Drosophila melanogaster: one gene and its partner. The protein of the gene in region 1 purifies or fractionates together with the protein of each later gene. This does not show direct contact. Each region holds a gene or a part of one and is shown in the gene's direction. Other genes may lie near its edges.

Region 1 (7,397 bases):
CCTAAAGCAACGAAATACAAAAAATAAGATTCCATTTTCGACTTACGACTTATGGCAACTTACCTGAAGCAGCTGAAGTTGTATGATGGCAAATTTGCTGACGAATTCGTGCGACTTGTGGGCTGCAGCGAACTTTTGTAGCTGCTCGATGGCCTCCTTGTGCTTGCGATCTTTGGCCAGCTGGGTGCAGCGAATGAGCAGCGCCTCGAATTCCACCTGCGGGTAGGTCTGAGCTAGCTTTTGGCTAAGCTGTTGCACTTGGTCGCCGGCATTAGTGTAAAGTGCTAGCAGACAGTTGTTGAGGGCTATGACCTGCTTCTGGCGCGAGGTGAGCCTAGACTCACAGGCGTCGGCTAGGGCAGCGCGTATCTTCTTCTTGGAATCGAAGACGTTCTGGTCCTTATTGACCACCACCAAGTTGTTGCTTGCCACGGCCACCAGGGCTGCGTCCTTTGGCTTATGACGCAGGCAGTCCGCGTAGATGCTGGACGCCTCCTTGGTCTTGCCCTGCAGTTGGAGGACATAGGCCAGTTGGACGCGAATGACGTCTACCTCTTCAATGATCTCCTCCTCGGAGGCACACTCATCCTCAAGACAGAGCTTCTCGCTGGTGCGCAACTTGCGCTCGGCTTCAGCATACTTCTGCCGATTAGCCTGGATGCACGCGCTGTTGAAGTACTGCTCGTAGGTGTCTTCCGGCACCTCGGGCACCTCCTTGGTCTGATCCACAGCCAAGTTGGCGGCCACGGCGCTGAGATTGGTCCGACGCTCTTCCTCGTACTCGTCACTGGTGTTCTTAATGATGTCGCGATAGGAGTCTAGGCACTCATCGTAGCGCTCCAAGCGGTACAGGACCTGGGTTCGGAGCTCCTTAAGGTTCGGAGGCAGGGGCTGCAGACCCGCATCGTCTATGGTCTTAAGCGCTTGCTGCTGCTTGTTAAGTTGGTACTCGCAGTAGGCCTTCTCAAAGAAAAGCGAGGACAGTCGATTTTTCTCAATAAACTTGTAGGCCTCCTCGAACTTGGAAAGCTGCACCAGGCAGACTACCTTGCAGTGCAGGGCGGTGGGATCGTCGGGCGCTACGCCTAGGACTATGAGAGATCATAGGGAGTCATCTTCTGGATTATAACCTCGGTAATCTGAAAAACTTACTGCGATTCACTGCCTTGACAGCCTTGTCAAACTCCTGGTTATTGCCGAACTTATTCACATCAGCGTAAGCCGCCTTTATGAGCGCCTCCTTGGGATTAGCGTCCTTTGACATCCTGTTTGCTCAGCACGTTAGTGGGTGGTAATATATATTTTATTCACTGACTTAAACTTTCGACTTTCCGTTTAACATGCAAGTTTTTACAGCTGTAGACACATCAGCAATGCGGACCTGCCAGATCGCTTCTGTGTGCAACCAGAGATGCCAGATGGCGGAAACAGTTAAGACATTTAATTTTTTAAACTATTTACATTTAATTAATAACTTATGCATAAATATCTATGAATGGGACATTTTATTATTAGTTATTAAAAACTGAAACGCTAAATGATGTGTACTAAAATCTTAATCCATGAAGTGCATTTCACTGTTTGATTATCAATTTCGTTTCACTATTTGCCATTATGGCACATGTAATTCATTAAATAATTGTTTTTTAATTCTTTGTTAAGTTATAATTTTCTTGTTCATCTATATCCACACACTTCTTTGAGCCGCTGGTATTTTGGGCTCCGCGTATCTGGCCACACTTGCATATTCGCTGGCGACGCCTTTGATCCAAACTCTGCGCCCGGATTATTGGATTATTTGACTTGACTATTGGAAAATGTCCGTTGAGGTGGATTTCGTCGACAAGAAGGAGGTGCACCTCCGCACCCTGAAGCAGTCCGGTCACGTGGGATTCGACAGCTTGCCTGACCAACTGGTCAACAAGAGTGTCCAGAATGGATTCGTCTTCAACGTCATGTGTATAGGTGTGTATATGCGGGTGAACTTTGCGTGTGTGCGTGTGTATGCGGCACAGTGAATCAACCGAAGTTTTGCTTGCATACAAAACAGTGGTGACCAAAGCAATAGCACTGATTTTTTATATTCCATAAAGGAGTCACTTGGAGAAGGTTTCAAACTTTTGTTGCTTCTTAACTCAAAGATGGCTTTGTTTGCACACCAATTAGAAATTGGACATACAGTGGTAGCTCGATGCAGAGAGAATGAAATAAAAACCGAGGTGTGTGCTTTTTATTTGTTAAACTTTAATACGAGTAAAATCAGTAAAATCATATTAGAAATACAATTATTTATTGAAAGCAAAGACTATTGCACAGCACATCTTGAAATAAAGATGCTATTGTTTTGAACACCGCTGTGCTATGTACTCAAGTGTCTCATGTTGGAGTGCATTGCTCAGATAAAGTGAATCACTTAGGTACATAAAAGCGGGTAAACAATTGAAATAACCAGACGCCCAGATACGATTAGTATGCAAAGTGGCCGGCAATCGATTGCCTCCGCCACTTTCTACAATTTCACCCTGACACCAATGCCGCAGTGCTTCTATGGCCAATTGAGCTCACTTAGGCTAAGGTTCCCCAAATCTGGCACAAATCTGACCCGCATTTCGAAATCTTTACGCTCCGCAGGCGAAACCGGACTGGGCAAGTCGACGCTGATGGACACGCTGTTCAACACCAGCTTCGAGTCCACGCCGAGTCCCCACACTTTGCCGAGCGTCAAGTTGAAGGCACACACCTACGAGCTGCAGGAGAGCAATGTGCGACTCAAGCTCACCATCTGCGACACGGTTGGCTACGGCGATCAGATCAACAAGGACGACTCGTTCAAGGCGGTGGTGGACTACATCGACGCACAGTTCGAGAACTATCTGCAGGAGGAGCTGAAGATCAAGCGATCGCTGGTGACATGCCACGACAGCCGCATCCACATCTGCCTCTACTTTATTTGCCCCACTGGGCACGGCCTCAAATCGCTGGACCTGGTGTGCATGAAGAAGCTGGACAGCAAGGTGAACATAATTCCGGTGATTGCCAAGGCGGATACCATTTCCAAGGTTGAGCTACAGCGCTTCAAGGCGAAGATCATTCAGGAGCTAAACGCCAATGGAGTGCACATCTACCAGTTCCCCACCGACGATGAGACGGTGGCCGAGACCAACACCAGCATGAACTCGCACATTCCCTTCGCCGTGGTGGGCAGCACGGAGTTTATTAAGGTGGGCAACAAGCTCATCCGCGCTCGCCAGTACCCCTGGGGCACGGTGCAGGTGGAGAACGAGACGCACTGCGACTTTGTGAAGCTGCGCGAGATGCTCATTCGCACCAACATGGAGGATATGCGCGAAAAGACACACACGCGCCACTACGAGCTGTATCGCCAGAAGAGGCTGGAGCAAATGGGCTTCAGCGATGTGGACAGCGACAACAAGCCCATCTCGTTCCAGCAGACGTTCGAGGCAAAGCGCTCCAACCATTTGGCCGAGCTGCAGTCCAAGGAGGAGGAGGTTCGTCAGATGTTCGTGCAGCGCGTTAAGGAGAAGGAGGCCGAGCTGAAGGAGAGCGAGAAGGACCTGCACGCCAAGTTCGAGAAGCTAAAGCGGGATCACGCCGAGGAGAAGCGCAAGCTGGAAGAGTCGCGCAAGGCGCTCGAGGAGGACTACCTTGACTTCCAGCGGCGCAAGCAGCAGTTGGCCACCGCCCACCACACGCTCACCCTCGGCAAGAGCAAGAAGAAGTAGAATCCGGCGCCGCCGCCTCACAATGTATTGAGAATTCTGTGCGGTTCGCTTATCCCAAAGTAATTATTGCTTTCTCATCTCGTTGTCTTTCATTTGTACTATTAAGTTTACTTCAAATATTAACATATACACAACTACACGCATATGTACGCAGGCATATAATGATTATGTATTTACAACTAACGAATAAATCGAACTTAGTATTTTAACAAAGTAGAAAAGAGCTGTTTGCCGGAAACTTGTATTCAAAAAATTGTAAACTTTTGTCGATATAATGTGTTTTTAAGTGTGTATTGAAGGCACCGCTGGATAAAGACAACAAAATAACATTTTATCTAAGATTATCCTGGTTTCCTTAGAAGTCACTGATTGATATGTATCAATACATATTAAGTTTATATTTTCCTTGAATTTCTTTTAAGCTCCGCTTTTTAAATACAAAAACATGGTAATTTGAATTTCAAGATTGGCGGGCTTTTCGTAGGACGTAAGTGTAGTACGGCCTTATTTTACTTGTCTTGTGCTTGCCACCTGGTCACACTGTTACCCACTCATTCACTGCAGGCTGCAAAAATTATAGAACAAATTAAAAACGCAATAATAGAATCACCGCAGCGAATTCGACGCAATCACGGAGTCCAGTGCTCCGTAACCCAAACGAAAGCAATTAACCGTGTTCAACGTAGAGAATAGTCCATGAAAGTGGGTGTATCCGTTGGCAAAAAGCAAGATACCCCTTTGTGTTTGTTTTTTGTTCGTTATAATTTTGTTTGTCGCTCGGTTTGGATTGCGATTTAATGGTAAGGGAGGGGACTCGCCGCAGGGGTGCTCCCAAGTGATTTTCCATAGCCAGCGCCGCCGAGTGGACGGGAAATGCCAATCGGCATGACGAACATGTCGCCAGCAGCGTCATCACTGGTTTTCCTCGCTCTTCTGCAGACAGGTATGGATAATGCTAATGGTGGCAGTGGGTAGTGGTTAATGGTTAATGGCTGGTGCAGTGTGGATATGGTAGTCCAGAAACGGGGTCATTAATGATTTCCCTCCGACATTGCAGTTACCTGCTACACCGTCATCATCACTGCTCCCGAACAGGCCCTCATCGGATCCACCATCAATGTGTCCGCCCAGCTCTTCGATGGCGACAAACCGGCTGACGGAGGCAGGCCCTACAGGTTCACATGGTCCGACAGTGCTGGCCATCGAAAGGTAACGATTCCACCTCCATTTCCCCAACTGCTCCCCCTGCAGAACGTGTTCAAACAAAGAAAACGGTGACACGACTAATTGCCTGCGAATGCAAACGCCAATAGTGCAAGCAAATCCACCAGCCTAGGGTTCGCATCTACGCCCATCAAACTGGCTCATTAAAATGGTCAGGAGAACTAGTACTAGGTGGTTTGCCTGCCATCAACGCAGCAGAACAGTATTTCATTAATGCAAATATCTCTGATTACAAAATATTTTGAAAGTTCTCGATTTCGGTTAAATTTAAAGTTTTAAGCTCCTGCTAATAGACCATTACAAAAGTTTGTTCTAAATCGATATCACAACTCGTAATTGCTAAACAAGAATTACTCTTTAGATCAAAAGACGTAACTGTTTTTATTCAAAATGCATTTTCAAGAAAAAATCTTTAGAAACCTTATTTCAAATTCAAACTTAAGATTTTTATATATAAGCTTATTAACTAACTAACATGAGCATATGTAATATTGAACATAATTATACTGATCCGTATCTGTTTCTTTAAATATTATCAAATGAAATTATCAATGTTAATGATTCTTATTCCATAGAAGTCATAAATATTTTATTATTTACGATGACTAAAAACACATTTTAAACACCCTAAGCTAGAGCTTACATATACAAACAGATGCGAATACCAGTTCTAATCTCAGCCCTGTGCCATCAATTGAAATGGCGTCATTTGAATGGTAATTTTGCACAATTACTATTAAGCGACAGCTTTTCCGATTGTGCCTGGTACGTGGCCATATCAGTGCCAAACGGTGGCTGCTATTGTGAACGAATTTGCATGCAGAGTGGCTTAAAAGTGATACCAAATAACACTAAACACTTCTCTTTGTGCCCACAGGTGATTGAAACGAACAGCGTTAGCAGCAATTGGTCTGTGGTCTTCACGCAAGAACAACCGGCGACGCATGTCATCAAGGTGGAAGTGGAGAAGTTCGTCACATTTTTTTGGGTGACGGAGGCTAAGGCCTCGAGGGGAATCAAGCTGGACAGCTTGCTCGGCGGCAGCCTGGAGCTGATTCAGAACAATGTGATGCGACCCCATGAGTTTGTGTCCACCCAGGAGGCGGTGAATCACAGCGTATCACTTTCCGATGCGGACCTACTTTTTCTGCAGTCGAAGGGTTATCGCATTCTGACGTATTGGTTTCAGAACTGCACATATCTCGGCATGTCCAGTGCGTTGGACTATGTGGCCACATATCCGAAAGCTGAGCAATATTATGACATGGAGGCGTTAGTGGTGGCTTCACTGGAACTTCCGCCGGAGCCGACGCCCTCAACTACGACGACCACCACCACAACAACCACAACTACCACTACCACCACCACTACAACTCCAGCAACAACAACCACTTCAACAACACCTGCCACAACGACCACTCCAAAAACCACAACATCATCCACAAGTACAACGACCACAACGACTCCAAAGCCGCCGGCACGATCCAAACGTGACTTAATCCAGGCCATGCATGCCAACGCTGCTCTTCTAGGCTTGAACTTAACCAGTGCGCTAAACCAGCAAAAGTCATCCGCTGGGAATGTGTCCGTGGCTTTGGTCAATCCGCTGGGAGTGCGAAGGGTGTCCAAGCTCACACTGGTGCCCGGTCTGCAGCCGCCTTTCGATTGCGTGAGCAAAAAGTTCGTCGCCCAGGACCCCAAGCAGATATACGGCTACTACCAGCATCGCGTTGTATCCAAGGGTACGATTATTTAATGATTTTTATGAGCGATTCTCCTCATATTTAAAACTGAAAACCCTTTAGATCCTATAACCGGTTTCGGCACCACGGGCAAGAATTGGTTGCAACACTGGGAGGTGCTTAAACTCAATGTCAACTGCAAAGGATCGCCGCCGTTTGAGCTTTGCACTCGAGTCTTCACTGGTGAGTGGCATTGCAATAGCTCAAGGCTACGTGTTATAATGACTGTCATGTTTCCATGTAGCTCCTTACAACTCCACGGGCAATGAGACCTGCGATCAGTATGAGCCGATAGAGACGTGCTCGTATGAGTATATGCGTTACTTCAGTGAAAGCAAGACCATTCTGTTCTTCATACGCAACGAGGTCTCCCAAACACTTAATCAGGTCACCATAAACATGTATGAAGGTGGGTAAATCGAAGTTCGTTTAAAATTAACTACTTACAATTGATTGTTAATTTTTCTATGCAGCTCAGCGTCAATCTCAGCTTTCGGTTGTAGTTGTGCCCGTAAGCTGCACTTTGGTGGCGGTGATTCTTGTTGTTTTCGGCGTGGCCTACTATATTCAACGGGGAAATCGGTAAGCACTGACGAATTACCAATGGAAACGCTTTCTACCAATTGTTTCGCTTTGCAGCTTCAATGTTGAAGTGGCCGATTTCAACTTCGGCGACACACAATCGGTG
Region 2 (7,851 bases), on another chromosome or scaffold:
AATATGAATCAGTCGAGTTCGTCCTAGCTGCCAACCAAGCGCAATTCGAACTCATAATTCGCCGCCGCCGCAGTAGCAGCAGCTACATTAGCTGCCAGTAGTCAACAGCAACTTCAACACCAGCAACAGCAACTCCAAATCCAGCAATACCAGCAGAATCAGCAACTTCATTTGCAAAACAGCAGTAGCAATTATGCGGCCACGCTTCTAGATGCAGCGGCCTTTTGCTACGAAACCGTGATGGATGCAGCCCACTTCCAAAACAACAATAATAACAGCACCATCATCAAGAACAATATGCAGACAATGCCGGCAAACGCTGCCAATGCTGCTGCAGCTGCAGGGGGAGGGGGAACACCGACCTATCAGGGGAAATACAAGCGCTGGCAGCAGCAACAGTTACAACAGCAGGCGCAACTCCAACAGCAGCAGCACAAGCTGCTGTTGCAGCAAGAGCTGCTCTAAAATATGAAGGGAATGATGACAAGCGAGTTTAAGAGAACGAGGAGCTGCCTGCCACACTGCCGCCGTCAGCAATAACAACATCCCAAGAAAATTCACAGCGAGTCGCAAAAGCATCAACAAACAAAGCAAAAAACGCAAAAAAGGATTACAAAGACGCAGAGAATAGGGGACATTTGCAATGGGAAATAACAAATTATTGCATTATCTGCTGGATTGTGATTGTGGTTCAAACATTAAAAATACACTTACTCATACACACAAGGTAGACACTGCAGACTAATTTTGCCTTAAAAGAAACAAAACGAATAATGTTAACTGTAAATTTTCACTTTGTGTCCATGCATAGTTACTAGTAATGATGATATAAATATATAAATATATATAAAATATAAAAATTATATAAATGTATAAATTTATATTTATATATATATATATATATATATATATATATCTGCATAAACATTGAAGCATACTAGTAAATCTTTATAAATATATTTATATATATATTTATCTCTTCCTTTTAACGCTTTTAATCGGAAAAAACATCCCAATTATATTTTAATTCAATTTGAAATATAAAAGTCATTTTTGTTTGTTTTGTATCAAAATCCAAAAAAAATTGATTTAAATATAAAAATACCATAAACATTAACACCACACACACACACACACACACATATATATATATATATATATATATATATATATATACATATATATATACATTTGTATATAGTCGTATCTGAACCACAAACAAATCCACAGATAAAAAAAACTGAAAAATTCATAGAATCAAACCATTTTTTTATATGCCACAAAGAAAAGAAAATAAGTAGAAATGCAAGAAAAATCGAGAAAAAGCGTAATTCATGAGATCAGATCGGATCAGAAAAATCAACAGAAAATAAACCTATTTGAAGTAAAATACTTCTAAATACATAGTAAACTAATGTAATAGTTTTTATTAAAATTACACATATATGTATCGATATATATACATGTTTTTTTTTTTTTAATTTTAAAATTATAATTGTAATGCACTATGCGTAAATTGTATTAAATATTAATATCCAAGGCATATTAATAGAAATATATATACATATATAAAACCTGCAAAAAAAAAACATGAACTACCAAGCTAAATGTTTCAATAATATATAGATCTATATGTATGTAAAACCGATATGAAATCTGCCTACAGCCAGACAAAAAAAACCTTAAAGAGAAAGATCAGAAGAGGAACAGAAGAGTATGAGCGGGGAGTGAAAGATGCAAGATTCATCCAAAAGCGAAAAACATTTTTTTCTTAAGTCTACGCAAAACAAAATGAATGAAAAGTAACCCGAAATTAGTTTTTAGAGTATAAGTATAAAAAATGGAAAATATCGCGATAGAAAGAAACAAAAATGGACGCAGATAAGGACGGCAAGCAGAACAAGAGTAATAAAGCAGCGGCAAGAACTCCCTAAAAATAGCAAAGAGCATTGTAAATATTTATATAAATAATTTATGCCTAATTAAAGTTTAAATTAATGAAGAAAACCAGCAAAAAAACATAAAAAACCAGAAGAACCATTTCAGATTTGTATGCAAATTTGTATATGTACGTACTTTCCTTTAATTTTAGCCAATCAGTTTGTAAGATTAAATTTTTTTTTTGCATCTCTATAAAGAATAATGATATGAGGATAATGATTCCGATTTTTTTTTCCGTTTAATGTAACCGTTAGAATTAGCCCATAATGGTCGATATCTAAATGTGTGTGTATATCGATGTGATGTCATCGATTGTCGATAACGATTGGATGCGAGTGTGTGTTAATTTAATTTGATAAAAGATAAAGGAAAGCAAGGAATGTGAAGATAATGAAAGGAGATGCATAGAGAATGAGAGCGAATCTATCTATTATATAATTATGTAAAATGCACATCTTTAAATTATAAATTATACATATTTAAAAGGAAACTATTATTATTATTTTGATTACCATTATCATTATTTTTTATTATCACTTAACGGTTTCGGTTTGATCCACAGCGAAACCAACAACAACCAAGAAACAGAAACAACAAAAAGAGAAACAAAATAAACAAGCGAAATGTTTGATAAAAAAAACCACGAGATGTTTTAATTTATTTGTCTTTAATTCTTCGATTTTATTGAGTTTTTCATAGAGAAAGTTGTCACACTCAAGAACACACACGCAAGCGTATAAAGCTAAACAAATTAATACCTACTAAGTGTTTAAATAGTACTAAACGAATCAAAATATAAATACTTAAAAAGAAAAAAAAACGAAAATAAAAATAAAAACAGCAGCAGAAAAAAACGATGAGACAGTTGAGCAGACGAGAAAAACAAAGCCCATTAAATTATTTGTTGAGTATTTTATTAAAAAATAATTACGATAATAATTAAAAAGTTTAAATTGAACGAATTACGAAAAACAAACTGAATATACATATATGTGTGCATATATACATATATGTATGTATTATATATAAACAAATTATTTAATAGTTATGCTAAAAAATTATTTAAAGTGAACGGATATGAAAAATATTTGTATGCGTGCGAGCACGGAGAGAAGGGCACTCAGAATAGGCCATCGACACCACCCACTCCCTTCCGATACCCGAACATCACCACCAGTTTTCACCATTTTCTGACCCTTAACCCCTTCAACCAGACACACACCAAACACAAGAAAAGGCGAAGAAAGCCGAAAAAAAAACAATGCAAACACGAAATAGGCGGCGACGACAGAGATAAGCGCGAAGAAGATACTAAATCAATAAGTAAACATAAAAATTAATTAATAAATTAATTCCAAAACAAAATGAAAAAAGCTAAAAAAAAAACATCAAGAAAACAAAAGACAAAAGCAAACAAAAAACATGACGAAACATTGAAAATAAAAAAATACTAAAATGATTAACAGAAAACTGTTTTAATGTCAATGGGGGCAGACATAAACTTCTTCAGCAATAGTTATGGACTTAATTGTGGCTCATTACATTCTCGATCCTATGTGAATATATATGTATTTAGTTTTGGGGTATGTGGCGGAAAATGGCTGTTATCTTTTTAAAAGTTGTCACATTTTCCAGCACTATCGTACGCACAAAATACTGAAAAATACAAGAGCGAAGCGATAAATACCGTCGATTAATTCTCAGTACTTTTTCATGGTATTTATGCATACCAATCGATAGGGCAGAGCAAAAGTGGACGTAAAGCTAAGCAAATATTGCTTATTAATAATATTAATATATTAATATATCAGATCTGAAAACATCGAGACAAAACGGAATTCAGAAATGGCTTTCACAATGCAAACCGGGGATCTGAAGAAGCTGAAGTACTTCATCGACTTTGCGCTTGAGAATCCCACCTTCTTGAACATGCCGCAGCTGCAGTTCGTCAAAGATTTCGTGGAGAAGTTTGGTGGCACGGTGCCGCCTGGCCAATTCAACGGTGGCAGCGCCGGAGGGTAAGTTAACCGAACTATTTGACCAATTTTCAAAACAACACGATTGTATGATTTGCTCATCCCGCGGCTTGTTCTTCCAGCAAGTGCCCATTCGGCGGTGTTGCTGGTGCCAAGGCCAACGAGCCGGCCAATGCCCCCGAGGATAGCGAGGACGAAAAGTCCCTCTCCGATCCTGAGTCGGACGTGGAGCTGGACATGGAGGGTGAGTGTGCAAATTTTGCCGAGTCACGTGGTCATTGGGGGTCACAACCCTGGACTTTGATGCGTTGCTGTCGCAGTGCTGGCAGTTGCTTTATCTTATATCCTTTCGACACTGCAAACTTAGCGTTTACCCAAATTCGAATCCTGCAGTATTAATATATGTAATACGCCAATTAAAACTATGTATCTTCTATCCGTATTACTTCCGACGCCTTCAGGTGTGATCGAGGCGGACAGCGACCCCGCCCAACCCATGGGCAACTACAGCAAGAAGGCCACCGAAGAGGAGGTGGAGCAGGCGAGCGAGCTGCGCGCCCAGGCGGCCTCCGCTTACGGCCAGCAGAAGTTCGACGAGGCCATCGCCTTGTACACCAAGGCCATTGAACTGAGCCCGGGTAATGCCCTTTTCCACGCTAAGCGTGGTCAGGCCTTCCTCAAGCTGAAGAAGCCGAATGCCTGCATTCGGGACTGCGACGTGGCGCTGGAACTCAACTCGGATTTGGCGGCTGGCTACAAGTTCAGGGGACGCGCCCGTCGCCTCCTCGGAGATTTTGAGCTGGCTGCCCATGATTTGCGCCAAGCATGCAAGCTGGACTTTGACGAGGAGACAGACGAGTGGCTAAAGGAGGTCACTCCGAATGCCAAGAAAATCGAGCAGCATCGCTTGAAGCAGGAGCGTCGCCAGGCAGAGCGTAAGATCAAGGAACGCCAGCGGGATCAGAGGCGCGCACGTAAGGAGCAGGAAAAGCACAATGCCAGCTCTGGTGGATCATCTGGAGAATTTTCCGGTGGGAATCCTGGTAACGGAAATATGTCTGATATACTGGGCGCCATGTCAGATCCCGAGGTGTCAGCCGCCATTCAGGTTCGTGAATACTACTTTTCTATTTCTAATACAAATGCAGTAATCATATCGTTGTTATTTATTAACTTTCGTAGGACATTTTGTCAAATCCGGGTAACATCACAAAGTACGCGTCGAACCCGAAGATATACAACCTTATCAAGAAGATTGTGCCCGGTGGAGATGTGGGTGCTGCCTTTGGCCAAGCGGGTGAAAAGGCTGGAAAGCCGAGCGAGCCTAAGCCTAAAAAGGACTCCGCCGACTTCGTCGATGACGGTTTGGACTAAGGTTTAGAAATGGGGCAGTAGTAAGACTGAAACATGCGTCGATAAAAAGAAGTTAACAACCAATTACACGAAATCGAGCGAGATTACAAAACAACAAAGAAAGAGAAAGCAACAGAGTGCGGTGAAGAAGATGGACTACACGAAAAACAAAAGGGAAAGCGGCTGCCTTACACATTTTTGCAGCTGAGAAAAAACAAACATTTCCTAAGCTTTAACTTAACCAACACGTAAAAGAACGGGCGACAATGGAGAAAATTCAAATATTCAAAATACTACAAGCAGTCAGAAGAATAAGCAACATTTATTTAAATCGAGAAGAAAGAGATGTTGGAGATGCTGGAGACGCTTCTTCACATATTATTGAAAAGCATACTTGCGGCCATTAAAGTGGCAAATGAAACTATACAAAGGAGCTAGAATATGCTTAAAAACTTATCACATTTGCAGTTCACAGGTAAATCAAAAGATTGTCCTGTGACGAACAAAACATAAATGTTTAGACGTCAAGTCAGATTCAAGGGTGCCGATCGATCTAGTTGAACTAAAGCTCGAGAAACAACCAAAAGAAAATAAAAAATATATATATGTTCAATAATATTAGCCTAAATTACCGAGAACGAAGAAACGGATAAAACTAATCGCATCATTTGGTCAAACAAAATTGTACTGAGTAGGATTTAAATCATATTGTAAGCAAATGCATTTAGCCCCCCAACATGAAAGCAATCGCCCATTCATTCACACACTCATTCACACACTCATTCAACCAGTGATCAATGGAAATAAATAAACGAATCAACAAGAACCCGAATTGCTAATGTCCATATTTTTTGGTAAACGGGTAAAAGGGGAGATACTTTTGCTTTTTTTTCGAGCGGGTTGGACAGATGGAGCCGTAGTCCCTTAAACTATCCGGCGCATCACCTGTGTGGGTTGCTCACTTTGTATGAAGGACATTGGGTACGCATGGTGTATGAAAGCGTCGATTAGACGCTTCAATGGCTGCACCCTGCACCCTGGATCCAGAACCTATCTACCGCACCCCGCCCCATGTCAGCGCGAAATTGGCTAACGGACAGCTTGGCGCACATGTTCGATTATGGCCAAATCGAGCGACCAAGCAGAACCAGCGGCACATGACCTGGGCTCAGCGATGCCAAGACCTGGGTGGTTGTACCTAGAGGTACTTGATTGCTTTTTAAACTCAGCTTGGTACAGCGTACACGACTGATTATTTAGAAGCTATGACAGCTTTCTTTGCTTTGATATTTTTCATATTTATATATAAATTATAAATATATATTTATAAGCAGGTGATATGGTTGAAACATATATCAACGAATATGTCAAATATAATACAGTGAAGTGTCTGCATTATTTTATTGTACCTGCGCCATCACAGGTACGGCTCCTCTTTCCATCGACTGCAGACGTACCGCTTATGTGCATGACTGGGTGTCCGGGGTGGTGGATGTGAATGTGGATGAGTGGCAGGAGGGCGCAGGCGCAGCTCAGCCCAACAGCCAAGTTGGTCTGGACTCCTGGCGGCCCATCGCATTCCGTGGCCAGTCGCAGCGCGAGACGGTTAGCCAGTTAGCCAGTGCGGACCGACTAATTCCCAATTTCCGCTCTTGACTAAACTAAAGATTGAGAAATAAAGAAAGAAATATCCTTCGTCCGTCCCCCAGACGAAGCAGGTCAATTTTTTTTTCGTGTTACTTGCTCTTTTTCGCCAAGTGTGAGTTGTGTGTTTTGGCTTGGCTAACGTGATTGAAATCGAGACAGCCGGGACATCATGATTGTCAACATGCCCGTCAATGGAACGGGCAGTGCATCCAGCCCAACATCGAATCCCAGCAGCAACAACAACAACAATAGCAGTACCACCAATCAAAATGATACGAACACTAATCTTCCCGGTGATTACAACTTTCTTAAGCGCAAGTTCGACGATCAGGAGGATTTGGCTTTGGGCCACGACTACGAGCCCATCGGGGCAAATCCCTGGAAGAAGCGACACTTGGACTACGATGCCGGGGACCTGCACTTCCACCTGCAGCTGGAACAGCCACCTAGTAATCCGCCAACCAACGCTGCACCCGCCCAATCCTCGACGTCCTTCATCAACGATCTCTTTTCCTATGAGAGCAGTCTTCTGGTGCCCGCCGTCGCCTATTCGCACTGTCCACCATCGAGTGCTCCATTGGATGACAATGGTGGTTGGACCGGTGGCGAGCTGCTGGAGCTGGATCATCGTTATAACTCCGGCCTGCAGGCGGAACTGGGGCAATTGAATGCCACTTTGCCGCCGCCACCACCAACATCATCATCAGCTCAAAATGCATCCAATCATACGCAGCAGTCAACACAACAGAATGTCATTCCTGGTCAGAACCCACATCAGAATCAACATTTTCTGGTGCCGCAGAAGCAGCGGATACAGTCGGCGGGCCGACGCACCTCATCCGGTTCGGTTAGTGGGGCCAATGAAGCCACCGAGGCGGACTTCGAGGATAAGAACCTCTCGTGGCTGCTCAACTTTAAGTTCGACGAGTTCCCG

The links.
Region 2: the proteins of Septin2 (region 1) and HIP-R purify together in Drosophila melanogaster (affinity purification with mass spectrometry, with the first as the bait; one large-scale study listed by BioGRID). This does not show direct contact.

The regions. Positions count from the first base shown.
Region 1 is NT_033777.3:20,582,692-20,590,088, reverse strand, and holds Septin2 (septin 2), read left to right. Parts: upstream 1-1,732; 5' UTR 1,733-1,817; coding exon 1,818-1,965; exon of another isoform or gene 1,966-2,086; intron 2,087-2,093; exon of another isoform or gene 2,094-2,219; intron 2,220-2,631; coding exon 2,632-3,743; 3' UTR 3,744-3,960; downstream 3,961-7,397. Other genes in the region: Srp72 (signal recognition particle 72), read right to left, coding at 1-1, 64-1,091, 1,153-1,264; CG16953 (uncharacterized protein), read left to right, coding at 4,617-4,686, 4,801-4,952, 5,845-6,709, 6,773-6,892, 6,954-7,118, 7,183-7,291, 7,349-7,397. UniProt on the Drosophila melanogaster protein: Involved in cytokinesis.
Region 2 is NC_004354.4:3,786,378-3,794,228, forward strand, and holds HIP-R (Hsc/Hsp70-interacting protein related), read left to right. Parts: upstream 1-3,591; 5' UTR 3,592-3,699; exon of another isoform or gene 3,700-3,752; 5' UTR 3,753-3,786; coding exon 3,787-3,959; intron 3,960-4,039; coding exon 4,040-4,161; intron 4,162-4,378; coding exon 4,379-5,025; intron 5,026-5,099; coding exon 5,100-5,291; 3' UTR 5,292-6,100; downstream 6,101-7,851. Other genes in the region: Tlk (Tousled-like kinase), read left to right, coding at 1-27. UniProt on the Drosophila melanogaster protein: One HIP oligomer binds the ATPase domains of at least two Hsc70 molecules dependent on activation of the Hsc70 ATPase by Hsp40. Stabilizes the ADP state of Hsc70 that has a high affinity for substrate protein.